Tamandua tetradactyla: one gene and its partners. The protein of the gene in region 4 purifies or fractionates together with the protein of the main gene of each other region. This does not show direct contact. Links are inferred from orthologs where the notes say so. Each region holds a gene or a part of one and is shown on either strand. Other genes may lie near its edges. The genes, in order: PES1, CCNL2, HADHA and CSNK2A2.

Evidence for each region.
Region 1: the proteins of CSNK2A2 (region 4) and PES1 purify together in Homo sapiens (affinity purification with mass spectrometry; 3 studies listed by BioGRID and IntAct, with this or other methods). This does not show direct contact. The link is inferred for Tamandua tetradactyla from reciprocal best matches to the Homo sapiens genes CSNK2A2 and PES1.
Region 2: the proteins of CSNK2A2 (region 4) and CCNL2 purify together in Homo sapiens (affinity purification with mass spectrometry; 3 studies listed by BioGRID and IntAct, with this or other methods). This does not show direct contact. The link is inferred for Tamandua tetradactyla from reciprocal best matches to the Homo sapiens genes CSNK2A2 and CCNL2.
Region 3: the proteins of CSNK2A2 (region 4) and HADHA purify together in Homo sapiens (affinity purification with mass spectrometry; 3 studies listed by BioGRID and IntAct, with this or other methods). This does not show direct contact. The link is inferred for Tamandua tetradactyla from reciprocal best matches to the Homo sapiens genes CSNK2A2 and HADHA.

The regions. Positions count from the first base shown.
Region 1 is NC_135331.1:32,350,359-32,358,205, forward strand, and holds the start of PES1 (pescadillo homolog), read left to right. Parts: upstream 1-4,838; 5' UTR 4,839-4,947; coding exon 4,948-4,971; intron 4,972-7,626; coding exon 7,627-7,706; intron 7,707-7,847. UniProt on the Homo sapiens protein: Component of the PeBoW complex, which is required for maturation of 28S and 5.8S ribosomal RNAs and formation of the 60S ribosome.
Region 2 is NC_135328.1:223,487,545-223,495,097, forward strand, and holds the start of CCNL2 (cyclin-L2), read left to right. Parts: upstream 1-4,545; coding exon 4,546-4,827; intron 4,828-5,154; coding exon 5,155-5,229; intron 5,230-5,583; coding exon 5,584-5,693; intron 5,694-6,355; coding exon 6,356-6,476; intron 6,477-7,464; coding exon 7,465-7,529; intron 7,530-7,553. UniProt on the Homo sapiens protein: Involved in pre-mRNA splicing. May induce cell death, possibly by acting on the transcription and RNA processing of apoptosis-related factors.
Region 3 is NC_135329.1:9,962,494-9,970,333, reverse strand, and holds the start of HADHA (trifunctional enzyme subunit alpha, mitochondrial), read left to right. Parts: upstream 1-4,913; coding exon 4,914-5,151; intron 5,152-7,840. Other genes in the region: HADHB (trifunctional enzyme subunit beta, mitochondrial), read right to left, coding at 4,684-4,963. UniProt on the Homo sapiens protein: Mitochondrial trifunctional enzyme catalyzes the last three of the four reactions of the mitochondrial beta-oxidation pathway.
Region 4 is NC_135342.1:51,831,869-51,839,473, reverse strand, and holds the start of CSNK2A2 (casein kinase II subunit alpha'), read left to right. Parts: upstream 1-4,598; 5' UTR 4,599-4,614; coding exon 4,615-4,718; intron 4,719-5,478; coding exon 5,479-5,590; intron 5,591-7,605.

The DNA of each region.
Region 1 (7,847 bases), on a different chromosome or scaffold from region 4:
GTTATTGTTGCATCTAGGACATCTCAGTTCACGCTGTGTTCTAGTTTGTCAGCTGCTGGAATGCAATATACCAGAAATGGAATGGCTTTTAAAAAGGGAGAATCTAATAAGTTGCTAGTTTACAGTTCTAAGGCTGTGAAACTGTCCAAATTAAAAACAAGTCTATAGAAATGCCCAATCTAAGGCATCCAGGGAAAGACACCCTGGTTCAAGAAGGCTGATGATGTTCAGTGTTTCTCTCTCAGCTGGAAGGGCACACGGCAAACATGGCAGCATCTGCTAGCTTTCTCTTTAGGCCTCCTGCTTCATGAAGCTCCCCAGGAGGCGTTTTCTTTCTTCATCTCCAAAGGTCACTTAGCCAGTGGACCCTGGTTCTCTCATACTTCTGTTGTGATTCTGCAGCTCTCTTCTCATTCTCCAAAAGGAACTCTCTCACCAAAATGTCTCTTCTTTTATAGGATTCCAGTAAACTAATCAAAATCCAGGTAGAATGGGGTATCCATCTAATCAAGTTTAATAACTACAATTGACTGATTAGATTACAACATCTCCATCTAATCAAATTTAATACCCACAACTGATTGATCGCATCTCCATGGAGGTAACCTAACCAAGTTTCCAACCTATAGTACTGAATAGGGATTAGAAGAAACTGTTGCTCCCACAAGATTGATTGGGATTAAAACATGGCTTTTCTAGGGTACATAAATCCTTTCAAACCAGCACATACGGCAAGGATATATAGATATATATATATATGGAATAGTACGCACACATATACAATAGAAGACAAAAGTGGAGCTTTCCAGATGAATGTGTGTATACAATTTCATGTGTGTAGTTCTACATGTATTTCTTTATGAAATCATCTGAATCTATATCAATTTGAACATGAGTTAATACTGATGTCTCCAAGCCTAACCCATTTCCATATCTAGCATTCTAGATGCCTCCATTGCTTATCTGTAAATTTCCACTCCAACAGTGAGAAACCTGCCTCCACCTTCTACCAGTCATTTACTTATTGGTCAGTTCCAGTATACCTGCATAGCTTTATCAGAATTGTTAGCCCTTACCCTGGTGGAAAACAACTTTTAAACTTGAGTGCAGAGCTATGCATGATTTCTTTTGCCTTTAGTCCTACAGACTCATTTCCAAATTTACTTATGTCAGTACATCCCCTCTCCCTTTTGATGGTTGTTACATACATTTGTAATAGATTGTTTTGTCACATTTTGCATTTCATTCTGGGATTCCCACCAACTTCCTAAATTTTTAAAATACTTGCATACATTGTTTCACTTTTTGTGGTGTAAAGTTCTCGTTTTGGGGGGGGGGGGCTGTGCATGGTCCAGGAATCGAACCCGGGTCTCCCGCACAAAACATGGGCATTCTAACCACTGAACTACCCATGCACCCTTAGTTCTAGGAGTTTTGATAAATACACATTATGTATCCAAAATTAGTCTAATACACAATAGTTTCACCACCCTAAAAAAAAATCCCGTGCTTTACCTTTTAATCCTCCTCCACAGTCGAACCCCTGATATTTTCTTTGTATTTATTGTCTTGCCTTTCCCGCATGTCATATAATTGAAATCATACATAACGGAGCTTTGTCAGATTGGCTCATTAAGCAATATGCATCTAAGATTCATCTATGGCACTTTATGGCTTGATAGCTCGTTTCTTTTTCTGCTGAATAATATTCTATTGTATGGACGTATACATTAATCTCCTGAAAGACATCTTGGTGGCTTATAGTTTTGGGTAATTATGCCATAAACATTTATATGCAGGTTTTTGTATGAATATTAATATTCACATCAGTTGGGTAAATACCTAGAATTTGACTGTTGAATCATAAGATCAGATCATGTTTAGCTTTGTCAGAAACTGCCAAACTGTCTTGCAAACTGACTGTACCACTATTATCTTTTTTTTAAATAAAACAACTTAGAAATATTTAATATTTAAAGCAACAACTACTCTATGACGTTATCTCCATTTGATAAATAAAGACAGAGAGGTAAAGTAGCTTGTCCAGGCTTGAAGATAAAGCCAGGTGTGTCTGTTTGCAGAGATTGGGCTCTTAACCAAATCAGTGAAGAAATCCTGGTACACAAAAAGCACTCTGTTGGGAAATCAAGACAGAGAGGAGAGACCTATGTGCTGTCTTTCTAGGACTCTCCACAACTCATTAGGCAATAGCGTTTGAGTTCAATAGCAGGCTCTGCAACCAGCCCGATGAAAATCTGTTCTCCAACTCCTGATATTCTCGTAAGCAGTGTGGACGACCAAATTAATAGGCCGAGCCTTCAATCTTGGGGTTTGTTCATATGAAACTTATCCCTCTTTTGTTGCTCAGATGTGGCCTATATCTCTCAGCCAACACGACAAGCAAACTCACTGCCCTAGCCCTCTCTATGTGGGATATGACTTCCAGGGGTGTAAATCTTCCTGGCAAGGTGGGACAGAAATCCTAGAATTAGGCGGGACTCAGCATCAAAGGATTAAGAAAGCCTTCTTGACCAAAAGGGGGAATAGAGAAATGAGACAAAATAAAGTGTCAGTGGCTGAGAGATTTCAGAGTCGAGAAGCTACCCTGAAGGTAATTCTTAATGCATTATATAGATATCCCGTTTAGGTTAAGGTGTATTCGGCTAGAGGGAAGTGCCTGAAACAACAGAGCTGTGTTCCAGTAACCAAGTTTCTTGAAGATGATTGTGTAATGATATAGCTTTCACAATGTGACTGGGTGATTGTGAAAACCTTGTGTCTGATGCTCCTTTTATTTACAGTATGAATAGATGAGTAAAGCATGAATTAAAAACAGATAAATAAAAGGGCGAACAAATGTTAACATTAAAAAATATGTATACTGGAAAGATAGAAATAACAGTGGTCAATGAGAGGGAGGGATAAGGGGTATGATATGTATGAGTTTTTCCTTTTTCTTTTTCTGGAGTGATGCACATGATCTAAATGATCATGGTGATGAATATACAACTATGCGATGTTACTGTGAACCACTGATTGTACACCACGTATGGAACGTTTGTATGGTATGAATGTATGTGCGTGTATGTTGTTTTATCAATAAAATTTTTTTTTTTGATATTTTAAGTAGCTGAGCGACCTTGGGCAAGTTTCTTCATTTCCTGAGCCTCAGTTTCCTCACCTGGTTAAAATGAAGCTATCAGAAGTACTACATGACCTCTACTTTGAGCTCCAGATCTGGATATACAACTGCTTTCCTGGAAAGCTCTACTTTTGTCTTCCACTGACCACTCAAAATCAATGTGAGCAACACAGGGTTCATCTTTCTTCTGGAAACGTGGTCCTTCTGTGCAGGACAAGCTACATGATTCGCGAGAGTCAGTGCAAGATGCAAATGGAAGGCCCCTTGTTAAAAAAAAAATGTTCAGAATTTCAGCAACAGCAGAGCTTTAAACCAAGTGACGGCCCTTTTAAGTGAGGGGCCCTGTAGAATTGCACAGGTAGCACATCCACGAAACCGGTTCTGCTCTTGAGTTCCTTTCATGAGTTTCCCACTTCTATCCTCTTCTGATCATCTTTCCTTGCCCCATCTTGCCCTCCATGCTCCACTCAGAATGGATCTCTCAGGGTTCTCTGAATTCTCCAAAGTTTTGTCTCTGACCCAGGTGCTCCCTTTCCACGTCCTCTTTGCCAGCCTCAGATCTTGATTGAAACACTCTCTTCTGCCTTACAGTGACCACCACAGGTCTATAGTTTTTCTTAAACTCTCGGGCAAAGAAAGTTTTCTTTGCTAGCTTGCCTCCCCTATCCCTTCAATACATTTCATTTCATCCTTTGTTTCATTTTGCGTTGTTTGTGGATTTGCTGAACTTTAATTTTATTTGTGCTTTAAAGTAGATAATAAAATTCACATCGTTCATAATAATCAAGCATCAGCAATTAACGTCTGCCTCCTTCTCTTGATAAGCCTGTGGCCAAGATCGTGATGAAAGCCACAGTCACAAAGTCCTCAAATTTAGATTTTTGAGGCCAGTTCCAAACGGGATTTGGAAGGCTGAAGGAGGAAAACACCAAACATCTTTAAAATTGTATCTGCTTCCCATACCACATCACTATAAGGTACAGTGAATATTTGTATGAATCTTGCATTTTTCCTTTAAGGGGCACAGTACGAAATTTATAGCTGTGCATATTAAAGCTCGAAAAGTGCTAACTGTACATTTAAAATATACCACGAGTTCTGTAACTCTGCTCGGCCTTTAGCTACTCTTCGACCGCTGCTAGATCGCAGAAAATGCTAGCGAACCCTCGGCCCTCTATCTCTATCAAAGAAAATGTTTGCTTCTGCTCTATTTTATCCCTAAGAGCGGATGAACAAAAAGAAGTGCGGCTGAACAAAAAGAAGTGCCGATGAACAAAAAGAGGTGCCGAAGGCCACGGACGTTTGGAGCGCAGCCTCACCTCGCGAAGCTAGAAAGCATCTTCTCGGTAGAGCCTGCGACGTTCCGACATCACCTAAACACAACCGTTACCGGGACAACGCAGCCCAGCCTCAAGAGCCGCAGACCTCACCTCTGTATCCCAGAAGGCACTGCGCTGCCTCTAAGCCTTCCGCCCCACTGCATCCCAACATGCCACGGGGCCCAAACGTCAAGCGATCTTCGTCAGGGTGATTATAGCAATGCCTGAAGATTTGCATCAGTTTAAACTTATAAATTGTCTGTAATAACCCTGTACCTGGAAAAGAAGTCGGAATAGGGGTTATAGTTATTTTTCAAAGGGGTTAACTTTAAATAGCCACGAGAAAAGGCCCATTGTTTTCTGGATTCGCGCAGGCTCCTCCTTGGACAGCCCAGGTGGGGCTCCTAAGGACTCTAGACTAGACACGTGTGGAGGAAGTGGCGCTGTCTCGGTTTGTTCCGCCGGTAGGCCTTTCAGCGTGAAGCGATGGGAGGCCTGGAGAAGAAAAAAGTGAGTGGAAGAGATGCTGTGGGTCCCCGGGAGAATGGTATATAGGGGCGGCGGAACTAAGGGACGCGACTAGGGGCAGCTGTGAACCGCATGCGAGGAAGGGCGAGGACGGCAGTGCGCGTCCGGTGAAATCCAGGAAAAAACGCTGGAGTGTACAATCAGTAATTCTTAATAACATCACATAGTTGCATATTCATCAATTCTTAGTACATTTGCATCGATTTAGAAAAAGAAATAAAAAGACAACAGAATAAGAATTAAAACAATAATAGAAAGAAAAAAAAATCGCTGGAGTGGGGTTGTGAAAGAGTTGAGGTTATCAAGCAAAGCTTCACCAGAAGCAAGCAGGACCGAGGGGAACACCCTGTTTGCTGGAAAAATGATAAATGTTACACGATTATCTTCTCTTACTTGGTATCCTTTTTCCATTGAGCCAGACACTCTGTCCTAGGTACTGGTCATAGAGAAATAAACAGATGTGGCCCTTGCCTACCCGGAGTTCACTTTACAAAAGTAAATAGCAAAAACTATCACCAAGGAATACAAAAGAACACTCATATTAGTTAGTGTTGTCTTGGAAGGTGTCACTGAGGCTGCACCATTAAAACTGAAATCTGAAAGATTAGAAGATCGAGTCTTGGATGGGTTTTGGAGCATGGGAGTGCTTAGTGAGTAAGCCTGGTAAAGGAAACTGAAATGCCAAGACCCTCGGGTGGGAAAAGTTTGCTGTGTGAAAGGAATTGAAAGAACGTTAGGATGGCTGGAATATAATAAACCTCTGGTGAAGTTGGGATTGGGCAGTGATCAAATCATGCAATGCCTTGTAAACCACAGTGAGGAGCTTGGATTTTATCCTAAGAACAATAGGAGACAACTGAAGGAAACACATTTTCAGTTTTTTAAGGAATTGTTCCTGCTACTCTATGGAGACCCCACGTCAGTGGTATAAAGAGCCTAGGGTGGGCAGTGCCGGTGTGTGTGAAGATGCAGTTGGCTAACATGTTTCCTTCAGGTGCAATGTTTTCAGTGCCATTTTGTTTTTAATCTAACACATCTATTGAATACCCACTAAGGGTTACCCATTGGAGCTACAGAGATATAAGATGAACAACCCTGCCTTTGAAAATGGGTTTCTCAACCATTTTGATAGCTTGGGCCAGATTAATCTTTTTTTTTTTTTGGCGGGGGGAGACAGAGGGAGGAGAGTTGTCCTGTGCATTGTGGGGTGTTTAGCAGCATCCCGGACCTCTACCCATTAGATGCCAGTAGCACCCAACAAAAATATCTCCACACGTTGCTGTATTCCCGCACCACACACACACACAGCCCCCAGCAAGAACGATCCATTTATCCCTTTAATGTTTACAAGTATAAGTGTGTGGTCACAGGAGTATATGTGGCATAGAGTAATGGGAGATACTTTTAATGAAGACTCAACTTCGTGAGATAGTCTGAAACCCATCTTTGTATTCCCCAGGACCTAGCACAGGCCCCGATCCTCAATAAACAAAACTAATAAATGTCTGAAGGAAAGCATGAGTGGGGGATATGTTTCATAACTGGTGTTTTACATAAACGTACTTCTCTGGGGCTGCAGGACTCCTCCTTAAAACTGGGCCTGGCCTTAGAGGCCGCTCCTGTCTTATTCGGGCAGAAGATCATGTTTGGAAAGGACATTCTTGGTCAGCATTGGAGGGTGCTTGGTACAAAGCCCTGTTTATCAGGGGCACAGATGTGAATGTGAGGCAGCATTGTGGTGCTACAGACATCCACATGGTTGCCCAAAACAGTACACTCCTTGGAACAGGTAGAGTCTTGGACTTTTGTCTTTATTATCCTCATAGCACCTGCTTTAATACTTTGAATATAGTAAAAATCCCCTTATTGTCTGTTGAATGATTGACTGGGGAGAAGGTGAGTCCAGATTTCTTAAAGCATCTATTTTTTTCCCCAAGGGAGTAAAAATTGGTCTTGGGTAGGCAGGTAGAGCAGAAAAAAAAAAAATCTTAAATATTACAATGGGTTGTAGTCCTCCAAAGGACCACGTTACCTAACACATATAAAGTATATCTGTGATATTAAAATTTCATGGGTCTGCGAGGGATGATTAGGAAGAAAAGTGTCTGAAAAGGCTGTGTGTCTGTGTGCGTGTGTGGCAGAGGGGAATGGTGACAATAGTAAAAAGTTTGAGAAACACTGGCTTTGCAGTTAGGTACCCAGCTCTGGAGTCAGACCTGGGTTTGAATCCCAGCTCCAGCACTTAAAGTGTTGGGTGACCTGGGTGGGGTTTTTAACCTTGTTGAGCCTGTTACTCTCGTCTGGTGTGGGGGGTTATAACGGTACCTACCTCACAGGGTTATGGGGATTAAATGAAATAATACCAGTAACAACCAGTACTTAGAGCTAGTACTGTGTGCTTGGCACAGTGCACTACATAGCAACCTCATGATCCCTGGCATCCTACTTTGCAGACCTGTGTATCCTCTCCAGGGACATCTGTAAGAACAGTGCTGGGAAGCCCCTTCCGGCAGGAGCCTCCTTCCCTATGGCATTTCCTGTCCACAAAGCACCTTGGCCACTTACCTCTGAAACAAAGCACACCAGAGTTTGGTGGCTGTCACTGCAGTCATTGACTTGTTTTTATCTTTCCCAAAGTATGAACGGGGCTCTGCCACCAACTACATCACCCGAAACAAAGCCCGGAAGAAGCTGCAACTGAGCCTGGCTGACTTCAGGTGAGATTGGAGAGAAGTGAGAGAGCATGCCTCGGGGAGCCTAGACCATGAATTGCACAGTAACTCAGTCCTCATTGTACTACACCACAGCTTTGTTTTCCCTGAGCTGCCCAAACCCTCTTTGGAATTTGGGTGTTCCTT
Region 2 (7,553 bases), on a different chromosome or scaffold from region 4:
GAAAACGGGTCCTTTATTAACAGATTCTCAGAACCATCTAATATAGGTTGTTAAAATAAAGCCTGTGGTGTTCAGCTGTGCGGGTTGTGTGCGTCTCTGGGGGCCCGCAGGCTTGTTGCCACAGCTTTGGCACAGAAGAGGCCACCAGGTGGGATGGTACCCCCTCTCTTGGAATCCTAGATGCTCTTCTGTGAATTGGGGGCTTATGCCTCTCAACTCTGATCCTGGCTCCCCTCAAGGCTGCCTGGACAGCCCATTCAGTACCTGCTTCCCCATTCCATGCGCGCCCCTGCCTCGTGGCGGGTCTTGGCCCTCTTGTCCCCCAGATGACTCCACTCTGACGTGCGGCCTCACCGTAAACCTATCCAGGTTTCTCACCGCGGACTTCCCTCCTCCCCGTGCCCCAAGTTCGTTCTTTCCCTCTGTAGTCCCCTTGCCTTGACCTCTCTCTCCAGCAGAAACCCTGGGACCCAGCTCCCTAGCTGTACGCCAGCCTCAGTTCTCTGCAGCCTCCAACTGGTCCCTAGCCCAGCCCTCCCCACAGCAGGCAAGCTGGCCCTCTTGGTCCTGGCTTTACCCCAGCCGCACATCGCCAGGCAGGGGCTTCTCAGTGACTGACCCTTGGCCCATCTGATGAGGCCATTTAGCATGCAGCATCCTGTTCCATGCCCCAGGGACTCAGATTCATTAAGTCCAGAGTCAGGCCGGAATCTGTTCTCAAGCCCACGGGGCTGATGGGGACAGCCATGTGCCTTCCTCCTGCCTTGCCGCCTGCCCACCGTGCCCACCTCTGATCAGCACGTGCACCTCAGGAGGGGTCCACACCTCTCTCCCCTGGCCAAGATGGAAGCTGGGTCCTTGCTCACCTTCAGGGCCAGGTGCTCCCTCGGGGCCCAAAGCTGGACTCGGTCCTCATGGGGCTCTGGTTCCACCCATCGCCTGTCTTCTCTGGACTTTGAGACCCTCCTGCCCCACTCCGCTCCTGAGTCTGCTTTCCTTTCTTCCGTAGGCCGGCTGCTCAGTTCCACTCTGCCCCTGTGATCACTGGGTCCACTGATCTGCTACGCCTCTGGTGGCGCTCACCACCACCAACAGCCACTTTTTCAACTTTTCTCACTTCTGAGCATCTGTGGGCCCAGAACCTACGCCCTCTGTGGGACTCTGGCTCTCCCTGCAGGCTGGCGTGCAACATGCTTAGGGTTCCTTCTTGCTGCGCCTGCTCAGTCTCCATGTCGTGTTTCTGTTTTCTGGGCTCAATCCTCCACCTGCTTCAGGAAAGCTCTCCATGCTTGTTCTAGTTTGCTAGCTGCTGGAATGCAACACACCAGAGATGGATTAGCTTTTAATAAAAGGGGATGTATTTTGTTAGTTCTTCAGAGGAAAGGCAACTAACTTTCATCTGAGGTTCTTTCTTGGGTGGGAAGGCTCAGGGTGATCTCTGCTGGCCTTTTCTCCAGGCCTCTGGGTTCCAACAACTTTCCCCAGGGTGATTTCTTTTTGCATCTCAAAGGCCTGGGCTGAGTGCTGAGATGAGGTATGCCGAGCTGCTTGGGCTGTGCTACGTTGAGCTTGCTCATTTAAGTACCAGCCAATTAAGTCAAACAGTCATGAGGTTCACGTACCATTGGTTCATGTCCACAGCAACAGAACTAGGTGCCTTCACCTGGCCAAGTTGACAACCAAATCTAACTGCCACAAGGCTCATGGCATTAGCCACTCTCTGCCTGCTGGTGGCTCCCACATCCTTCCCAATGCAGCCCTCCCCTGAGCTCGAGACATGCTTGTCCCACTGCGTCCTGGATACTTGCCCACGGCTCCAGAGGTTCCTAAGCCGAGCGCCCATCTCCCCCCACCCCACATGCTCCACTTGCCTCTTTGCCAGCAGACACCTAGAGTCAGTGTGGGCTTCCCCCTCAGGCTCAATGCCCCCCTCCAACCCACAGGTCCCGAGCAAGTCCTGTCTCTTGATTGCCCACTTTCCTTCATTCCCACTCAAAATCGTCGTCCTTTTCTCCAGCATCACCTCTGGCTTCAACAACTGCGCCGGCCTCCTTAGCACCCTCTGGTCTTTGTCCTGTTTAACAATGGCCTTTGGACCATGAGCACTTGGGGGCCAGGGGCTGCGGCCCCTCCACTGTTGTCCTGCTGCACTGAACAGCAGGGCCATGCTGTGCACACAGGTCACAGTACTCCTCAGTCATCAGCAGATGGCTACTGAACAGGCAACGGGAGCATCAGAGCTCGTTGTGTGGGGTCCAATGATGCGCGCACTGCATGGTAGTGAAGGGGCTGCCTTTTGCTCTGTATCTCGCCTCAATGAAAGGGGGTGTCATAGACCACTACAGGCTGCTCCCAGCACCCACCCCAACCCCTTCCTCCAGCCACAGGGCCCAGCTCTCCCTTTGGTGCAGTTCCGGGGACTGTGGCCCTGTCCCTAGCTCTAGGGCCTGGCCCTGATTAGCTAAGGCCATTAACTCTTCCCACTTTTCTGGCCAATCACTGCCCAGGGGATGGGCAAGCAACTAGGCAAGGATAATCAGAAACATGTTTGCTGGGATTTCCAGAGAACAGGAACTTTTCCTAGAGGGTGCTGCTGTAGCCAGTTTGCCTGCACACAGGAGGATCCTGGTGCTGCCCACCTAGGGAGAGGAGATGTTGGGGCTACGAAAGACGAGGAGAACTGGCTTCTTAGGTAGCAGCATTGGGAGTTGCTGGATCGAGTCTCTCCAGAAGTCAGGGCCCCATCTGGACACTTCAGAGGAGGGAAGCAATGGAGGCCTCTGGGTTTGGGCCGGTTTGAATTGAGGGCAATATCTAAGGCAAGTTTAAGTGCGACAGTCTACCTTCCCCCCAGGCTTCTCAGCCCACCCCCTACCCAGTTCCAACCACCCCACCCCAGGTTGCCCCCCCTCTCAGGCTCCCCACCCCCACCCCCAGGCCAGGGCTCACAACATTACTGGTGAATGTTTAACCGCAACGTGTGCAGTCACGGTTGATGACGACAGCATTTATTCCTCCTGTACAATGAGACCAACAGCCCTGATGCTGAGTGCCTTAAAAACTGCAAAGGAGGCTGGCAGTACTGAACCCAAGGGTGAGAACTAGGCGGGGCCTTCTAGGCACAAGTCTCTCTTTTCAGGAGTAAATGGGAGGTCTGTAAGGTCAAGAGGGGTTCAAAGGCATAAAGCCCCATCAGTGGTCCCCCACTGTTTTGTTTTTGGGTTTTTATTTTTTAACATTTTTTTACTGTGTAGTATAACATACACAAGCAAAAAAAACAAAGCAATAGTTTTCAAAGCACTCTTCAAAAAGTAGTTACAGGACAGATCCCAGCGTTTATCATGGGCTACCATACGAATCTCTCATATTTTTCCTTCTAGCTGCTCCAAAATATAGGAGTCTAGAAGGCTCAAATATTTTTCTATCATCACAATCGACCTTTTTTCTTTTTTTTGTGAAAAATAACATTAAAAAGCTATAAATTTCAAATCACAGCACCACAATTAGTTATAGAACGTATTTCAGAGTTTGACATGGGTTACAATTCCACAATTTTAGGTTTTATTATTATTTTTTTCAATCACATAGTCGCATTGCAAAAGCTGTATCATCATACAATCATCTTCAAGAAACATGGCTACTGGAACACAGCTCTACATTTTCAGGCAGTTCCCTCCAGCCTCTCCATTGCATCTTGAATAACAAGGTGATATCACTTAATGCTTAAGAATAACCTCCAGGATAACCTCTCGGCTCTGTTTGGAATCTCTCAGCCATTGACACTTAGTCTTATTTCTCTCTTCCCCCTTTCCGTGGAGAAGGCCCCCACTGTTATTCAAGTTCAAACTCTCCACGGGGTGCCCGGGGCCCACGAAGTCAGTCATGCTGACCGCTTCAGCCCCTGGCCTTGCTGCCCCGCGCCGGAACCGTCTGATGCCTGCCTTCTCCCGTGGCCAGGGGCTCGGCAGAGGCGCGGGACGCAGTGCTCCCCCTTACCGAGCTCCTCGTCTCGGGCCTGCGGACTGAACTCCGAAGGCCAAGGGCTTGTGGGCTGCAGACGCTGCGCAACTCCTGCGGCCTGAACCTCGGGGTCCGGAAGGGCTGAAACGTGAGCCCACCGCGGCTGCCACGTGCACGGCACGTACCCCTTAAACCACGACCCCTCAGCCTCCTCCGCCGCAGGCAGCCCGCGCCCCGGGACCGGAGCTACGCGCTTCGGGGGCTCCGTGGGATCGCGCGCCGCAGCCGGGAAGGCTCGGCCACGCGGAGAGACGCGCGGCTTCCGGGTCGGCGACGCAGCATTCGCGGCCGCGCCCCGGCGCCGCGCAGCACCTTGGGTAACCAGCCACCCCCGCGCGCGCCGATTCCGGCGCCGGCGTCCGGCGCGGCGCTGACGGGCAGGCCATGCGGCCAATCAGCGGGAGGCGCGACAGGACCTCCGCCGGCCCAGCCAATGGCGCGCGGGAGGCGGGATGGCCGCCGTCGTAGAGCGTCGCGAGGAGCGGCCCTGCCGGGAAGGAGCCGAGGAGAAGTCGGCGGCACAAAATGGCGGCGGCCGCGGCCGGGGTTCCGGGGCCCGCGGCTCCCGCGGCAGCGGCCGGCGCCCCAGGCACGGGAGGCGCAGCCCCCGGGGCGCAGGGGGTGCTGATCGGGGACAGGCTGTACTCCGGGGTGCTCATTACCCTGGAGAACTGCCTCCTGCCTGACGACAAGCTTCGCTTCACGCCGTCCATGTCGAGCGGCCTCGACACCGACACGGAGACCGACCTCCGCGTGGTGGGCTGCGAGCTCATCCAGGCGGCCGGGATCCTGCTCCGCCTGCCGCAGGTGAGTGCGCGGCCGCGGGCGGAGGTAACCGCCCCGCCGGCCCGGCCTTTTGTTGGCGGCCGCGCGGGCTTCGCGCCGGCCCATCCCGCCGGCCTCTTCCCCGGCCCCGGGCCCACCTCCGCCGGCGTCCCGCCCGGGCCCCGCGCCCACTCACGCCGCGCCTCGGGCCTGCCTGCGGAGGGTGGGGGCCGCCAGCCTTCGTGGGTATCAGAGGCTTTGGGTTAATTCCTGGATCCAGAGCCACGCGAAAGCTGGCGATTTCCTTTATGTTGCGAAGCTCCTGAACGTGCGGCTAGAAGTGGTAGAAACCCCTTTTCACTTCTCCAGGTGGCCATGGCTACCGGGCAGGTGCTGTTCCAGCGGTTCTTCTACACCAAGTCCTTCGTGAAGCATTCCATGGAGGTGAGGGCCTGCGCCCGCCGGGGCCCCTTCCCCAGGGGTGCGGAGGCGGAAGCAGGCCTGCGGTGTGTTCCAGGTGTGGGGAGCCTGTTGTGCTCAGAGCCCCGCTCTCCCGGGCAGCCTTTTCCTCTGTGCGGCTCCCCTTTGCTCTTTTTATCTCTTTAAACCTTTATTCTGGCTCTGTGGCTCAATGTAAAATTTTCCATTTTTGTAGCTTTGAAGTACACAGTTGAGTGGTATTAATTACGTTCACGATGGTGGGCTCCCAGCACTGCTTTCGTCGCGCTTCCCAAGTCTTTGGAAGCCATCAGGGTGGGAACAGTCATCCGGATGTTGCAGTGTGTACATTTATTTCAGCATGTGTCAATGGCCTGTGTTCACCTGGCCTCCAAAATAGAAGAGGCCCCAAGACGGATAAGGGATGTCATCAACGTGTTTCATCGGCTCCGGCATCTGAGAGAGAAGAAGTGAGTGTTTTTGTTACAGCTGTGGTGAATGTCTCCTTATATTTGTGGTTTTTGAAGTGCCTTAGGGCTTCTGTAACAAAACTCCTGGTGTGAGGTTTTAAACTTGTGGGTCATTCGTTAATGTATTCCCAAGCACCAGGACAGGGGGTTATGCCCAGGGCTTCTCAACAGGGATTGCTCAATGAACGAAGGGGCTGCTGTGGGCAAGGACAGAGGCCTGTGGCTGTGGTTTTCCTGGTACTGGTGTTTGGGTTGCCCATATCAGTTCATCACCCTCTCGTCTCTGGTCTCCTACATATCTCTGCTCTGGAGCCTCTATACTATGACGTTTTGGACCAAGTTATTCCACTGCAGGGCTGCCCTTTGGATTTTAGGATGTTTAGCAGCATCTCTAGCTGCTGCCCGCTCCAGTGCAGTTGGACTTTGCTGTGCCCTAGAGCGCCATTTATCTATAAGGGAAAGGGGAGGACCATAGCTCAGTGTAGGGGTCTAGGAAGGCTTTGTGATGCTGTCCCTGAAGGTAGTAAAGTCGGCCTCCTCGTGATGTCTGTGTCGTAGCGTTTCTGTCCTCAGTTCTCAGCCTTTGGAGGTAATCATGGGATTTGAAAGACTTCATTTTATTTGACCCTTATGCAGGTCATGTGCTTTGTTTGTCTTTCTAGGAAACCTGTGCCTCTTCTATTGGATCAAGATTATGTTAATTTAAAAAACCAAATCATAAAAGCAGAAAGACGTGTTCTGAAGGAGCTTGGCTTCTGCGTCCACGTGAAGCATCCTCACAAGGTCAGTATAGGCACAGGCCTGGCCACTGGCTGCTGCTGCTCATTTTATTTTCACTGCTAAGCAAGCCTTTAAAGAGAATTGAAATGCATCCTGGACTTGGTTCTCCAGTTTGTGTCTATAATTTCGCAGTAATCTTTTTGTAAATATTACTTCTTAATTTTAAATATTTTTTAAGGGTACTGGAATTGGCTTCTTTTAGTTTTGAGTTGACAGAGACATAGTGGTAAATTTATAAAACATTTTCTTTTTCCACAGTTTGTCTTCTGAAGTTCCATTAGTAATAATCTTTCATTGTCTTATAGAGGAAATGGAAGAATTCTAAGCCTTTTTATTTTGAAATGAACTAAGCCAGTTTTGCAGCAAGTATTAATTAAGGAGCACGACTACTATACTTTTAGTATATTTCAGTTTATTTACAGTGCCACGAATATCTGCTGTGTCATACTTTTTAAAAAATTGCTTTTAAAAAAGATTGCTGTTTGCATCTTTGATTTCATTCCCTTCTCATTGATGGGTGTCCTCATATCTTCTCTTTTACTTGTTTGATTTTTTGTCATTTCAAATTCTTGGTAAACTCTCCAATTTAAGCAGCTTTAAGCGCTTTCTTCACTTTCTGGAGGACTTTCACATGTGTTTTATGTAAGTTGGTGATTGGGATACAGAGATGTTAGGCAGGCAAATCTCACTGGTGGAAAAGGTGTCGAAGACAAGACTGAGAATCTGCTAGATGCTGGCCATGAAACGAGGCCTTCCCTGCCGGGGTGCAGCTCTGTTCTCGTGTGCATGCTTGCTGCCCAGCTGCCAAAGCAGGTAGCAGGTGCGTCAGCAAAAGCTCACTCTCCAGCCGAGCTCCATCCACTGGGCGTGTGACTGGGAAGCCACTCCTGGAATCTAGCTTGAGGCTCTCGTTTGCTGCATGGATGCCCAGAAAGCTGAATTCTTGGCTCTCCAGATTCTTGGTAATAACTGCCTGACCCATATCTTCCAGATAATCGTTATGTACCTTCAGGTGTTAGAGTGTGAGCGTAACCAACACCTGGTCCAGACGTCATGGTGAGTTGATTTTCTTTTGTTTTA
Region 3 (7,840 bases), on a different chromosome or scaffold from region 4:
ACTCCAAGACACTTACTAATCAGAATGTCAGATTTCAAAGAGAAAGAACTTTGAAAGCAGCAAGAGAAAAGCAATCTATCACATATAAGGGAAGCCCAATAAGACTATGCATAGATTTCTCAGTAGAAACAATGGAGGCAAGAAGACAGTGGGATGATATATTTAAGATATTAAAAGAGAAAAACTGCCAAACAAGAATTCTATATCCAGCAAAAATGAGGGGAAATTAAAACATTTTCAGACAAAAATATCACTGAATTTGTGACCAAGACACCAGCTCTGCAAGAAATACTAAAAAGAGCACTAGAGACAGACAGGAAAAGACAGGAGAGAGGTGTGGAAAAGAGTATAGAAATGAAGACTATCAGTAAAGATAAAAACAAGAAAAATTAGATATGACATATAAAATCCAAAAGACAAAATGGTAGAAGAAAGTACCTCCCTTACTGTAATAACACTAAATGTTAATGGATTAAACTCCCCAATCAAAAGAGACTGGCAAAATGGATTAAAAAACAGGACCCATCTATATGCTGTCTACAGGAGATACATTTTAGACACAAGGATAAACATAGGTTGAAAGTAAAAGGTTAGGAAAAGATATTTCATGCAAACAACAATCCAACAAATTAGACTCCAAATATAAAACAATTAAAAGAGACAAAGAGACAAATGTATTAATAAAATGTATTAATAGAGACAAAATGTATTAATAAAGGGAAGAATTCAACAAGAAGACATAACAATCATCAATATTTATGTACCAAGCCAGAGTGCTCCAAAATACATGAGCACTGAAAATAAGATACAACATATAAAAGCCAGAGGATAAAATGGCTGATGTAAGTACGGCCTTTACAGAAATAGCATTGAATATTAATGGGTTAAACTCCCCAGTCAAAACACACAGAGTGGCAGATTGGATAAAATATATATATATATATATATATGCTCTATCCATAAGCTATCTACAAGAGAGTCACCTTAGATCCAAAAACACAAATAGGGTGAAAATGAAAGGTCGGAAAAGGAAATGTGATGCAAACAGTAACCAAAGAAGAGCTGGGGTAGCTATACTCATACTAGCCAAAACAGACTCTAAATGCAAAACTGTTAGACAGAGAAGGAACCTATATATTAATAAATGGGGCAAACCACCAAGAAGAAATAACAATCATAAATATTTATGTACCTAATCATGGTGCCCCAAAATACACTGAACTCAAACAGATATTTGCACACTAATGTTTACAGCAGCATCATTCACAATCACTAAAAGATGGAAACAACTCAAGTATCTATCAACCAGTGAATGGATAAACAAAATGTGGTATGTGCATGTATATATATATATATATATATATATATATATATATATATATAAACACACACACGATGGAACGTCATTCAGTCATAAAATGAAAGTCATGATGCATATGACAGCATGGATGAACCTTGAACACATTATGTTGAGCGAAATAAGGCAGACACAAAGCAATAAATATTATATGATCTCACTGATATGAACTAATTATAATAAGCAAAATCATAGAATTAGAATCTAGAAAATAGGTTACCAGAAGACAGAAGAGAGTAAAGAATGGGGAAACTGATGCTTAATTTGAACCAAATTTCTTCTTTTCTTCTTAGGTTGATTGTAAAGGTTTGGAAACGGATGGTGGTGATGGTTACATATTATTGTGAGTCTAATTAACAGCACTGAATTATGTTTGTGAATGTGGTTGAAAGGGGAAGTTTTGAGTCACGTATGTTACTAGAAGGAAAGTTAGAAGATAAAACATGGGACTGTATAACACAGTGAACCTGTAGTGCATGATGGATTGTGGTTAATAGTACGAATTTAAGAATGTTCTTTCATGAATTATAACAAATGTACAACAATATTACAAGGTGTTAATAAGAGATGATATATGGGGAAAGTATACCTAATGTAAACTATGGACTATAGTTAACAGTAATATTTTAATGTCCTCTGATCTATTGTAACAAAGGTACCATACTAATACAAAGTTTCAACAATAGGGGAGTATAGAAGAACGCTGTATTTTTTAATATGACTTTCTCGTAAACCTACAACTTCTGTAATTAAAAAACAATAATAATTTAAAAACATTATGCTAAGTGGAAAAAATCAGACACAAAGTACTACATATTGCATGATTCCATTTATATAAAATTAAGTATAAATAAATCTATAGAGACAGAATTAGATTAGTGATTACATAGTGCCAGGACAGGACAGAGAGCTTGAAAGGTGACTGCTAAGGGGTTTGAGGTTTTTCTTTTTGGAGTAATAAAAATGTTCTAAAATGGATCGTGGCAATGAACGCACAACTCTGTGATTATACTAAAAGCCACTAATTGTGCACACTGGATGGAGTGTATGGTATGTGAAAATATCTCATTAAAACTGCCTTATAAATCACCACCACACCAAAAAGAAGAAAAATGAAGAAAATCACATGTTTCACATTGGAAAGCAGTGGCCGAATCCAAATTCTAGGCTCAGCAGCCTATAGGTATACAGGAACTCCAGCCAAGGAGACAAAGAAGCCCATAAGATACCATGGTTTCTAGAAGATACGGATGATTCTACATGAATCTAGGATACAAATTCTCTTAAGCAAAGGTCATCTTGAAATAAAACTCATGAAAATAATCAAGGACATTTTGAAAAAGAAAAAAAGACACCTTGCTTTAATAGATATCAAAACTTTCTAAAAATAACAGATCTGATTATATAAACATTTAAAACATCTAAACAGCGAAAAATTTTGACTCGAGGATTTTTGAAGCATGGAAACTCCAGGGTAGGTAGGCTTTGTAGGGTGTGGAAGCATGGAAAAACGCTTAAAGTTGCGGGCACCTGGAGCAAGGAAAGGAAGAAAGGGCTGGGCAAGTTCTGAAACAAGATGGGATGGCTCTTGTTAGAGCCATAATTTCAAAAAGCATTAAGACACAACGTAACGGTTAAGAGCACAGACTCTGAAGCCAGATTGCCTTAACTGAAATACTGACTCCACCCTTTCTCTGCCTTAGGATCCCAACTAATTGCAGTTCTTACCTCATAGGGCTACTGCAAAGATTAATTTAGAACAGTGCCTGATACATAGTAAGAGTTATATGTGGGTCTGTTGTTACTTTTAGGAGGTAGTGACAGTGCTATAAATGTACTTAGTTTCTGCTCTGTACAAGCCATCTTTCTTAAGTATTAAGGATCAAAGAAACAGGACATTTTTGCCCCAATGGAGCTTACGATTTTGCTGAGAGTGCAAGGCATAAAAAAATCAAGAGGCAAAAGGGTGATCTAAATCAAGGGTTGCCAAACTACAGTCCATGGGCTTCCACCTTAGAACAGTTTTATATATTTTTAAAGGGCTGTAAAACAAAACAAAAAAGAACATGACAGAGCCCTATGCAGGCCTCCAAAGCCTAAACTATTTTAAAAAGATTTTTTTACAGTTCAAGTCCTGTCTCCTGCCCACACAATGCTCTCTTCAGTACCTCATTCCATGAAGCACTTATTATTTAGATGAGGGGTGGCAAAAAAATCTTTTAAGTTGGAGGGCCTTTGGAGGTCATTAAAATCCTTTTTACAATTTCCTACAAGGTGATCACTGGTCATATCCAGTTTCTACTTAAAAAGTACACAATGATGGGGGACTCACTATTTGACTTGAGTTTTAACAGAAATCTCTCTTCTTTTTTTTTATACTTGTTTCAGCCTCAATTTCCCTGCCATTTTTCCCGCCCGCTGGCCCCTCTTGCTGTCTCTCTTGCCAGACATCAATCTGGTAAGCAGTGAGTCTCAGATTTATATCTGAAATCAAAAAAATTTATCTACTCTTCTCGGAACCTCCCAAACTTTAGCTAGAAAAATGCAAATAAGCCTAGGTTCATAAGAATTAAATGGAATGGGAGGAAAGTGACTGAAGCACAACAGGCCCTCAAAATTATTTCCTTTTGGCTTGAATCGTCTCATCTCTAACAGGACTCTGGAGCACCGGAGCAAGCAGCGTCTCGGCTGGAAACTAGGAGACCTAGGTTCTAGTCTTATTTCTACCACCTGTGACCTTGGATAAAATTACTCAGTCTGATTTGGGGGCTTCAGTTTCCTTACCGATCGAGTGAAGGGGGTGAATGACCGATGATACCAGGTCTCTCACAGATTTGAAAATTCCCCTGCATTATCCATCTCCGAGGAGGAGGGCGAAATGTCTCAGCTCCTCCCACACTCGAGTCCCGAAAGGACACAGGGCCGAGCTCCACCCTTTGAAGCAGAAAACGGGGTAGACCCGTGGTCCCCTTCAGGAGCTCTAAGGCCGCTGACCTGGCTACAGGTGAATAGTAAACACTCCAAAGTAGGTTTGTATGCCGACAAACTGTTGGCTAACTTGCGGTGATAAACTAAAAGACACAGGTGACACTACTGCCCACAGTACAATTAGAAGGCTAGCCCAAGTTACTGCCCCAGTACTAGTCGCTCCGGCTACAGCACGCCCAGTCGGGGCGCTTCCTTCCGCTCGCCGGAATACTAGCCTCACAGGGAGAGAAGCCTTCTGGCCGGCGGCCACAGGTCTCGGGTCTGGCGAAAGGAAAGGAAGTGCGGCTGTCGCCCGGGAAGAAACTCAGGCGGAAACCCGAACGCAAACATAGTCCCACCTTTGCTCTCGCCCGCTCCGACTCCACTGCGGCCCCGACTCCGGGTAAAATTCGGACCCAAGCGTCTAGAGTCTGTGGGGCCAAGGGGCGGGGCCTGTTTGAAAGGACCCCTCCGCGCCCCGCCCACGGGCTTCGCGGGCTGCCCGCCGGATGCCTGACTGGAACGGCGGCTCCTCGCCCCTTCCTCGACCGGCCTCTTTCCCTGACGAGGAGAACGCCCTTTTCGCCTCATGTACCGGGAGCGAAGGGCAGGGTCGCGGGGCGGACGGCACCTCGGCATCTGGGTTTTAGTCAGGCAGTACGGCGGACGCCTGGCAGGGACCACGCTGCTTGGGGGAAAAGTCCTCTGCTCAGCCGCCCCCGCTGGAAGCGCTTTCTACTTTCGTCCTTTTCCGTGCAAGATGGTGGCGTCCCGGGCAATTGGCAGCCTCAGCCGCTTCACTTCCTCTAGGACTCTTCGCTCCCCAGGTGAGGCCTGGCGGAGGGCGCTCTGCAGCCCGGGCAGAACTCCTGCCCGGCCTGGGGCGGCCCCGGAACCGCGTCTCGGGCTAGCCGGCGTCTCCCCGCCCCCGCCTGGGCCTTCCAGTGCTTGGGGTGGACGCCGGGCCCCTGCGTCCCTGTGAAGGGATTGCGGCTTCCTCTCCCACGACACCCAGCGCCGTGGGGCTTCCAGGCTCCGTAACCCCTAACTTTCTGAGTCCTTCCCACCCGGTGCCGGAATTTTCCGCAGATCTCCCGCGTCGCACTTCGGGGTTCACGCCCTTCCTACTGGATCCGGGTCCAGAAGAACGGGCATCCCCGGTCTCTCACATCTTGGCGTCTTCACAGCACCTTCCCGTAACCGGCGTGACAGGTTACTGCCGCTCCCTTCTCCTTTGTTGTCAAACCACTTTAGTACTTATTACCGCTTTTCGATGGAGCTCAGCTCTTGCCCAGTTCTGTCAATCCTAGTGTAAACGTATGTATGGTATGTTGAATTTCAACAGGAGGTTCAGCAACTTGCTGGAAAAGAAGCAACTTTTTAATTTAATGCTCAGATGTCCTGTAACTTAGAAAATAAAGCGTTAGATAATTTTATGTACCTTTTCTGATCTTGTTTCTGACACTTCCCTGTCAGCCTGCATTTGCTGTTATCTTTTCTCTTCAAATTGGCAGTGGAAGGGTTAAGGTGGGTGATGGGAGAAACTAAGCATTTCTCTCCCTTCTCAAACCTGTCACGTGAGATGTGAGATGCTGTGCCTAATACCAATTATTTAAATTGTTAAATTATCATATATATTCCCACTTCCTTCTTAGCTTGTCTTTAAGGCTGGTAGCTGAATTTCCCCTTACTTAAGAGGGATTCATTTTGGCTGATTCAATCTTTTTCTGCTTTCTCATTTCTCCCGTTGTTTTTAGTCTCCACAGGAGCATTCTCACTGATGTGTGTGTACCAATCATAGTATAACTACATTATTACAGAAATTGAAGTGTAAAGCTCAGAAACAGGGTTAAAAATAAATTACCTGTTCACTTGCTACTCACATGTTAGCATTTTGTCATCCTTCCTTACAGATTTTTTTTCTGTTTCCCACTTTTATGTTTTAACACTTTATAAAAATCAGATTGTATGTATGAGCTTACACCTGCATTGGTTTTGAGGTACTTCTTATGGGTTGACAGCTGTTGTAACACTGAACTGGTAGTCAGGTAACCTGGTTTCTAGCATCACGACCCTTTCATTAATTAGTTGTGTGATTTGGGACAGATTTCATAATCTAAGCAGGCTCTATTTTCCTCATCTGTAAAATGAATGGATGAGACTGTGGGTTTTCTTTTACTTGAGAAGTAGTTTGACAGAGAAAAGCATGAAATTTGGCCTCTGTCTTCTGAATTTAAAGCTGGCATTTACTCTCTCACGACCTTGGGCAATTTCTTTATCTCTTTTCTCATCTGTAAAAAATGTGGTTAAAAAATACCTCCTTACAAGGTTGTTTAGAAATCTAAAGGAGTTTTTTAAATGTTAATCAGTTTTTCATGGAGTAGGTGCTCAGTAAATGTTAACTATTGTTAACTCTTTACAGCCCTGAAGAACTATGATTTTTGTATATCTGGGATTTTTTTAAAGTAACTTCTACAATTTAAAAATGTGTAATAAACAGTTGCAACTTTAGTTGTGCCATATTTTCGGTATGGAGGTAAGGTATGCACATATATAAACATTTTTTTTGTATCATGTTTTCACCAGTTAGAAAGTGGCTTATTATAGTTACTGTCGTTTTGATAGCAATTTATAAATTTTGGAAAATTGCTTAGTAGGTGAATTTAAAGTTACCTGCACACCTGAATTGCCATTTAGACTCAGTAGATTGATTTCTTCCCCTTAAAGTCTGTGCCAAGATATTGCCAGACATTTAATGAGATATGGCATTTACTAGTAGATGATTAAATTTTATGAACTAGACTTGTAGTTCTTGAAGTTTTAACTCATTCCTCCTCTACCAGTACTGTAATTCTCAATTTGATTGTCAGATGAGTCACATCTAGAAAAAAATACCTTGTCTAATTCCCCCTCTCCGCAACCTAAATCCCCAATTATGTGAGCTATGAAATAATTTAATAGGAAATGTCATGTAATTGGATGCAAATACCTTACTTAGTCCTCAGCACATGCTGTATATTTAAACTTGACTCACTTCCCTAATCCCACCCTTTTCCCAGGGTTGGATTTTGAAAAAATCTGTAGGTTACTACAACCAAAGTAACATTTTCAAATTTGAAATTTGTGCCAGTATAATCCATCTGTCTCCACTGATTCTAGTCTTATAATGTGTTGTAGTTATTTCCTTGAGCTAAATGACAAAGATGATTAGAAAGTAGATCAAAGGTTACTCTCACTGGCTGGCAACAGTAGATGTAGGCTGAAGTTCACGAATTGCTGTAAGGTGAGCTCTGCTGATTTGGGATCCAAAAGCAAAGCTACTTTGAACTCTGAGTTGATTTCATTTACTCTGGTTTGAAATTCTTTTCCAAATAAGTTTGTATATCTACTGGTTTCTGTATTTTTGTCTCTATTGATTTAGAGGAACATTTGTATATTAGCTAAGATTCTCTAGAGAAACAGAATCAGCAGGAGAAATCTGTAAATGTGAAATTTATAAGTGTCTCACAAAACCAT
Region 4 (7,605 bases):
GAGGGAATTGAGGTGGCTGGAGTTCCAGAGCTTAGGGCTGTCTTCAATTCACCTATTTGTTTTATCTGTTTGGGTGGAATTTGGAGGAATCGTTATAAAATTGTTGGGCTTTTTGACAAAAGACGTTCTCTTTCGGGCGGGCCGCGGTGGCTCAGCGGGCAAAGTGCTTGCCTGCTATGCCGGAGGACCTCGGTTCGATTCCCGGCCCCAGCCCATGTAACAAAAACGGAGAAACAGAATACAAGAAAATGTTTAAAGATGTTTCCCTTTCTTCCTTCCTTCCTTCCTTCTCTCTGTCTTTCCTTTAAAAAAAAAAAAAAAAAAGACGTTCTCTTTCATTGCCTCTTGTGCTACCCTCAGTTATACTCAGCCTCACACCTGCATCCACATATTAATTAGGGGAAGTCCTTTCTGGCTTGTTGATCCTCGCTGCCCTGTCACCCACCCCTGCAGAGCCAGCAGCCTGTCCCTCTCCCTACTCAAGTAAGACTCCATTCCTTCAGTGAGAGTTGCCGTTGGTGCCATCTCCAGTTGTCCGACTTAGTTCTTCCCAAGCCAGCGGCATGGTGGACAGGCAGGAAGGAGAGATGGTGGGTCTCTGCCAGGTCTGTGGGGTGCTCAGCCTACTTACAACAAGCCATAAAAACATATTCTGTTTGGCCAGCAAACCAGAGAACTGACTGCTGGTTTCAGGCTGAATTAGGGAAGTGTCAGCCAAATCAGGAGTGTGTTGCACCAGAGAGGTGTGTAGGCAAATCCTCAGGCTTCCTGGCAGGTGTGGGAGCAGGTTACGTGAGATGGGTGTGGGTTAGGTGGTAAAAGATGAGAAGGTTCAGGGAACGTGGGAGGGGTCACAGGTGGGTGAGGGTGGAGGCAAGAAATGGGGTTCCTGCCAGTGTTGGACATAGTAGTTAGACCAGTGATTTGGAACCACTTTATAATCATGGCCTCCTTTGAGAAGCTGATGGATGCTGAAGAAAAAATGTGCGCACACACACCGTCACCCACACACACTGACCCACAAATTTTGCATGCAGCATCAGGGGTCCTTGGTGCTCATCCAAAGGATCCAGATTAAGAACTTCTGGTACAGGCTAATTCACAAAGACTTGTCAGAAAGAAATCCTATGGCTACATGAACAGCTTGAAAATGCTCGTGTCTTCTCACGGAAAAAAGATTCAGGGAAGTGTCCATGTTTGGGAATTAAATGCCAAAGTCCACTTATTTCATACACGCTCTTATTTATTTATTTGCATGGGCAGGCACCGGGAATCGAACCTGGGTCTCTGGCATGGCAGGCTAGAACACTGCCTGCTGAGCCACCTTGGCCTGCCCTCTTATTTATTTTGAAAAATTTCAAATCTACCAAAAAGTTGTAAGCTCGTGTGCTCTCTGTCTATACTTGCCAATTGTTAACAATTCTCCCCCAATTATTCCTTACCCCCATGTGTGCTCTTGCTCTCTGGAACCCACGCTTTTTTGTGGAGAACCATTTGAGAATAAGTTGCAGATATTATACTTTATCCCTGAACACTTGGTATGTGTCTCTGTTTGCCAAGGCAGCTATGACAAATACCACAAATTGGTTGGCTTAAACAACAGGGATGTATTGTCTCACAATTGTGGAGGTTGTAAGTCAAAAACCAAGGTATTGCTAGACCATGCTTTCTCCTTGTGTCAGTGGTATTCCAATGCTGGCTTGAAGGCAAGCCTTGGTGTTCCTTGGTTTGTAGATGCATGTTTGCCCATATCACCTGGCAATCCCTTTCTCTCTCCTCCTCTGGCTTCTCCTGACTTCTGAATTTCCTCTGTTTATAAGAATTCCAGTCATGGGGTGCAAGGGTAGTTCAGTGGTAGAATTCTTGCCTGCCATGAGGGAGACCAGGTTCGATTCCCAGCCTGTGCACTTCCCCCATTTCCCCCCAAAAATAAATTCAACAAATAGTGCTGCAATAATTGGATAGCCACATGGAAAAAGATGAATTGTAACCCCACCATACAGCATACAGAAAAAAAAAAAGAACTTCAGTCATATGGATCAAAGGGTACCCTAACTCAATTTGACCTCATCTCAATTGGATCTTTGCAGAGACTATTCGCAAATGAGTCTACAACCAGTAACTGGGGTTAGAACTTGACACGTCTTTATGGGGGGTCATTACTGAATTTCCAACAGCATGTAATACCCAAGATCAAGGGATTCTCCTGCATAACCAAAATACAATGATCGCATTCACAAAATTTAACATTGATACAATATTATCTAATATACATCCTTTATTCTAATTTCTCCAATAATCCCATTACTGTCCTTTTAACTATATTCTTCTTTCCGTCCCTTCCTTCTTTCCCATTTTATTCTGTATTTAAACCAAAGTCATATACTTAACTTAGTTATGTCTCTCAGTCTTTTTTAATTGAGAAGTTCACTCCAGGGGTTTTGTTTCTTCTCGTGACATTGATATTATTGAAAAATCTAGGCCAATTGTCTAGCAGAATGCTCCCTCAGTTTGGATATGTTTGATTGTGCCCTTTGATTAGATTCAGATTAAGCATTTTGGGGCAGGAGTACTGCGTTGGGGATATCGTGTCCCATCTTGGTGCATCACATCAAGAGTTCAGTTGGTCCCATTTTTGATGCTAAATTAGATCCACAGTTAAGGTCATGACCTCCAGGTTCCCCTTTGTAATTAATAAGTAATCTACGGGGTAACATTGTATACACTGAAAGCCTCGAATTGTGGAAGATGCTGGATGCTGCTTTTACAGTGGAGGAGACAGACAGTTAGGAAGCAAATAATCACAGACCATGCAGACTTCTGGAAGGATGTGGATAGGGTGCTGAGACAGAGAATTGTCAACTCAAGAGAAAATGACCTTTAAACTGAGATTTGAAGAGCAAGAGTCAGCCATGGGAAGGAAGTAGTGAAAGGTGGGGGTAGCTCCTGGCCATGTTTAGAAGGTGGAAAGAACTGAAAGATAAGCCTGTTGTGGTCTCAGGGAAAAGTGATAGGAGAAAGGCTCTGGAACTGGAAATAATAATATTGGGTAATTACCTTTACTGAGTACTCAGTACCTCCCAGACATTGGTTTAAGTGTTTTACATGAATTAACCTTTTCAATTCTCCCTGTAAAGTAAGTGCTATTACTGATTTTTTGCTGTAAACTCTGCAGCACAGAGAGGTTAAGCAACCAAGCCAAGGCCACACAGCTTATAAGCAGTAGAGCAGGAATTCAAACCTGCTTGTATCTGACTCGATATTCTGTCCTCTTAATAATAACAAGGAGTAGGAAGCAGGGTCTCATCTGGAAAACAGAATGTGTAAAGGGATTAAAGTCAGAAAAGTCTGGGATGAATGAGGACGTTCCATTGATACAGGATATAGGATGGGAAAGGAAAACAGAAGAAAGGCCCAGAAGATCAGAGAGAGAAGTGTTTAGAGATAGGAGGCAACAGAATAAAAAACACCCCACCCTCAGTCCACCCCACGCCCTGGACTGAGCCTTCAGGCAGAACCCCCACACAATTCTACTGCTCTCCGTCCTCACACACATAAAAAGGGCATTTGCAGAGTTCAAGCTCCCCACAAATTATCTATTAATGGGGAAAACAGACAACCTGACAGGGACCAACATAACCAAGTGACCAAGGGAACATTCAGAAGTTGTTCAGGGAAGTGCTCTTTCAGGTAAGGGAATCTGGGGGGAAAGTGTAAGAGAAGGGTCTTGAAAGGAGGCTCTGGGTGAGGAGGTCTTAGGGTTGAGACCTCTATGGGTGACCAGACAAGGTCTGGAGGAAAAAAGGGGGGCCTCTGGGAGGAGCAGAGGGATCTTGAGGCGGAGGAGGCTCTAAGTAGTTGAGGAGAGTCATCAGCAGGGCACTCGATGGGGGTAGTTTGGGTCAGCAGGGGAGGTCTTGAGGACGGAGGACTCTGGGTGGCTAGAGGGTGGAGAGCTTTGGGTAGGAACCTCCAAGACAGTTTTTAAAGGGTCGGGACTGGAGAGGAAAGGTTAGAGAGACAGTCTGTGAGTGGGGGAAGCCTCGTGAGGACCGCGTCAGGGCAGACTGAGGAGGGGGAGATTTGGGCAGGGGGCGGGGCGGGGGCGGGGCTGGCGCCGCCCGGCGGGTCCCCCCGCGCTGCAGGGGGCGCTGTGAGTCCGAGCGGCCCCGGGCCGGGCGGTGGCCGCTCCTATTGAGCGCGGCCCCTTTTCCGGGTTTCCTCCTCCTCCTCCTCCTCCTCCTCCTCCTTCTTCGCCGCCGCCGCCACCGCTGTCCCTTTCCCGGCCGGCGGCTGCCGCGGCTGCCGCCCCTGCCGCCGCCCCTGCTGCCGCCGAGTCGGGGCCGCGAGCCGAGCTGAGGCCGCCGCGGAGCGCGAGCGCCGCCCGTCCCTCCGCCTCGCCGGCAGCTCCGGGGCTGGGCCGGGCCGGCCGGAGCCCCCCGCGCCCCCCAACCCGCCCGCCCCCGCGGGCCCGGCCTGGCGCGGCCGCCCGCCGCCGCACTCCTCCTCCTCCTCCTCCGGCGCCCGGCGGCCGGCCGCCCGCTCCGCCCTCCACCCGGCGCCCCCCGCCGCGCCACCCTCTGCGCCCTGCGGCGCCCCCCGGTCCCGCCCGCCATGCCCGGCCCGGCCGCGGGCAGCAGGGCCCGGGTCTACGCCGAGGTGAACAGCCTGAGGAGCCGCGAGTACTGGGACTATGAGTCGCACGTCCCGAGCTGGGGGTAAAGCCGCCGCCCCCCACCCGACCCTCACACCCTCCTCGGGCCCCGCCCGGCCGCCCCCCAGTGTGAACCACACTCGGCTCCGGGCGATCTGTCTCCCCGCCTGCTCCTCTTCTGGGCCGGCGCTTTCTCGTGTCTGGGGTGGGAGACTGAACCCCCCCTCCCCCTCCGCACGTGTCCTTGGCCTCCTCTTCCCACTTGGCGCACCCCTCTCTTTCTTCATCTCCCTTTCTTCCTGGGAAGACGTAAAGGATCTGAGGGCCAGATCTTCATAGAAGTGAGGGGGCAGCCCATCCTCCTCACACTTTTGGCTTTCTGTTGGGGTGGGAAGTAAACAGCTGTCTTCTTGAGCTATTAAAATTCTTTGCCTTTTAGTTTGTCTGAGACTGGGTGGGAGGAAATTTTTTGAAGACGTCCAGATTAGCAAAGCAGGCACTGTCTGCGTTCAGGGTGTGAAGTATGAGGCAGGTGCTTTGAAGCCACCGGTGGAGGAGTACCCTGTGGCGCTCCAGTATGGATGCTTTGCGCTCCCTCTACATCATCTCCCTTAAGTTATGAGGGAACAATTAGGTTAGGAGCTCTGCAGAGTGAAGGGAGCCAAGTTTTTGTTGTAGCCTTCATTTAGGGAATGAGTTGTGATGTGATGTATAGACACTTCCAAGTGTTTGATTAATGGAAGCATCTGCATGGAGTGTATAGTGAGCCTGAACTTGGTTGATCCACTATCTTAGCATTTATGTGTCTGTCTTTCCTTTCACAGTAATCAGGATGATTACCAACTGGTTCGAAAACTTGGTCGGGGAAAGTATAGTGAAGTGTTTGAGGCTATTAACATCACCAACAACGAGAGAGTGGTTGTAAAAATCCTCAAGGTGAGTGTCCTATGAGTGGCATTTAAACTTTTTTTTCCACAGGCCAAATGGGAATCTATGTGAGCTACAGTCCTAACTCTCATTTTATTTACTGCCTTCTGTCTGATGTCCCTCCACTACTCCTTCCTCCTAATTTCCAAGAAAACATGGAGACCTGCCTCAAATCAGAAGCATGTTAGGTCAGGAAAGTAAGTCCTTGTTCCCAAATTTAAATTATGGGCTCTCAAAGCAAAAAAATCCCATACTCTATGTATTACAACATAACTGATATTTCAGAGGAAAGAAATATCTCTTTGTGAAGATTCTAACAATCCAGAGGTTGCTTGACTATTGTTTTTGTTACTCTTGGTGCATTAAGTTATTCCGGAAGGAAAGTTAGAAGATAAATTTATCCTTCAAAGATGAATTTGTAGCCCAAGTGGAGGAAAATGTCTCAGTGGATAACCACTTGTCCCTTCTTTGGTGATAAAGTTTCAGCTGAAGTGGAAATAACAGCTAGTAGTTTTGGAAAGGTTCATTGTTGCTTGTCAACTAGTAAAAGTGAGCAGAAGAGTATGCTTCCAATCTCCAAAGTAATAATTGGAACAAGACACTGTTGATATCGGGGTTTAGTGGCTAAGTTTCATAATATGCCTGTTTTGTTATCACTTGCATGAAGACATGATCTTAATGACCATGAAGAATTGACTGAATTTTCCTTCAGGCAAATGATGTTTTAGAGGTTGTACTAAAGAGTAACTCAATCTGTGATGGGGCCTCATTTTGGCCGGGTCATTTAAAGTGTGTGCATATCATTTAAAGAAACATTCAGAAGACTAAGGAAGTACTTTACATAAATGCAGTGTGGCCATTTTGCAGAGATTTTGTGGAACAAAAATGGGGTTAAAAAGCTGTTTTTGTTTCCATTCAGAAAACTGAGGAAGTACTTTACATATAGGCAATGTGGCCATTTTGCAGAGATTTGTGTGGAACAGAAATGTGGAGTTAAAAAGCTGTTTTTGTTTCTTAAGGGTAGCATTAGGGCAGCTGTGTAGGTAGTCCTTTTTAATGTGTGGGGTACTTATGCTGTCTGGAAATTGCCTTTCATAAAAATGATTGACACAGTCTTTTAGGACCTCCTACCTAGCGTTGAAGGAGCAAAGTTGCTCCTACCTAGAGCAGATAGCTAGTTATTTGTGCTGCCAGACATATTGGGAACAAGAAGTGAGGAATTGATGTTAAAGTTATTGACTCCGCTTTTCCCCAAATTTGAGTTGTATCTTTAAAATCACATGGTCCTTTTTTTTTAACAAACACTAATGTTTAAATGAATGTCTCTTCAGACGACAGATCACCTGGGGAAGCCATACAATTTATTTCTTTATGTACATACGCACAAATGTTTTTTATTTAAGCTGCTTCACATCTTTCTAGGAAAGTAGTTAAGACACAAGTTGAAATTAGTAATAGCCACATTCCACTACTATACATTCTGAAAAATGAACTGCTGACTCTAAAGCAATTCCAGAAAAACGTCTAAACTTTTGTGCAGTGGTAACATTTTAGAATAAGTGCAATCTCTTTGCTTTGCACTTTTGAGAGGAAACAGCAGTCAGGTGTATGTATAAATATCAGTATGTTCATTTAGGAAATTATCACATTACTCTTTAGTCATTCTAAAGGACTTTATAGGGTCAGTTGCTTGATAGTTTTCCTTTGCTCCAAAAATTCTTGGGATGTGTTTAGGGTCCTCAATATGGAAACTCTAGGGTTTTTTTAAACAAATGGTAAACCTAAGCACAAAGAAACTTATCTCATAATTTTGCTAAAATAATGAACCCTTATTATTCAGTAATGAACCTTTATTGCAATGCCTGTTTCCTATTTCTTCCGGTGTCTTACTTTGGTGTATTGTCTTGTGGGGTCTTAATGTTGAACAGTGTTCTGGAATAAGACTTAGAAGTCTCCTTTGATACTTTAGTTAGAGTGTTGTTTCTTATTTCTTTTTGTAGCTTTGTGTGTGTGTGTGTGTGACA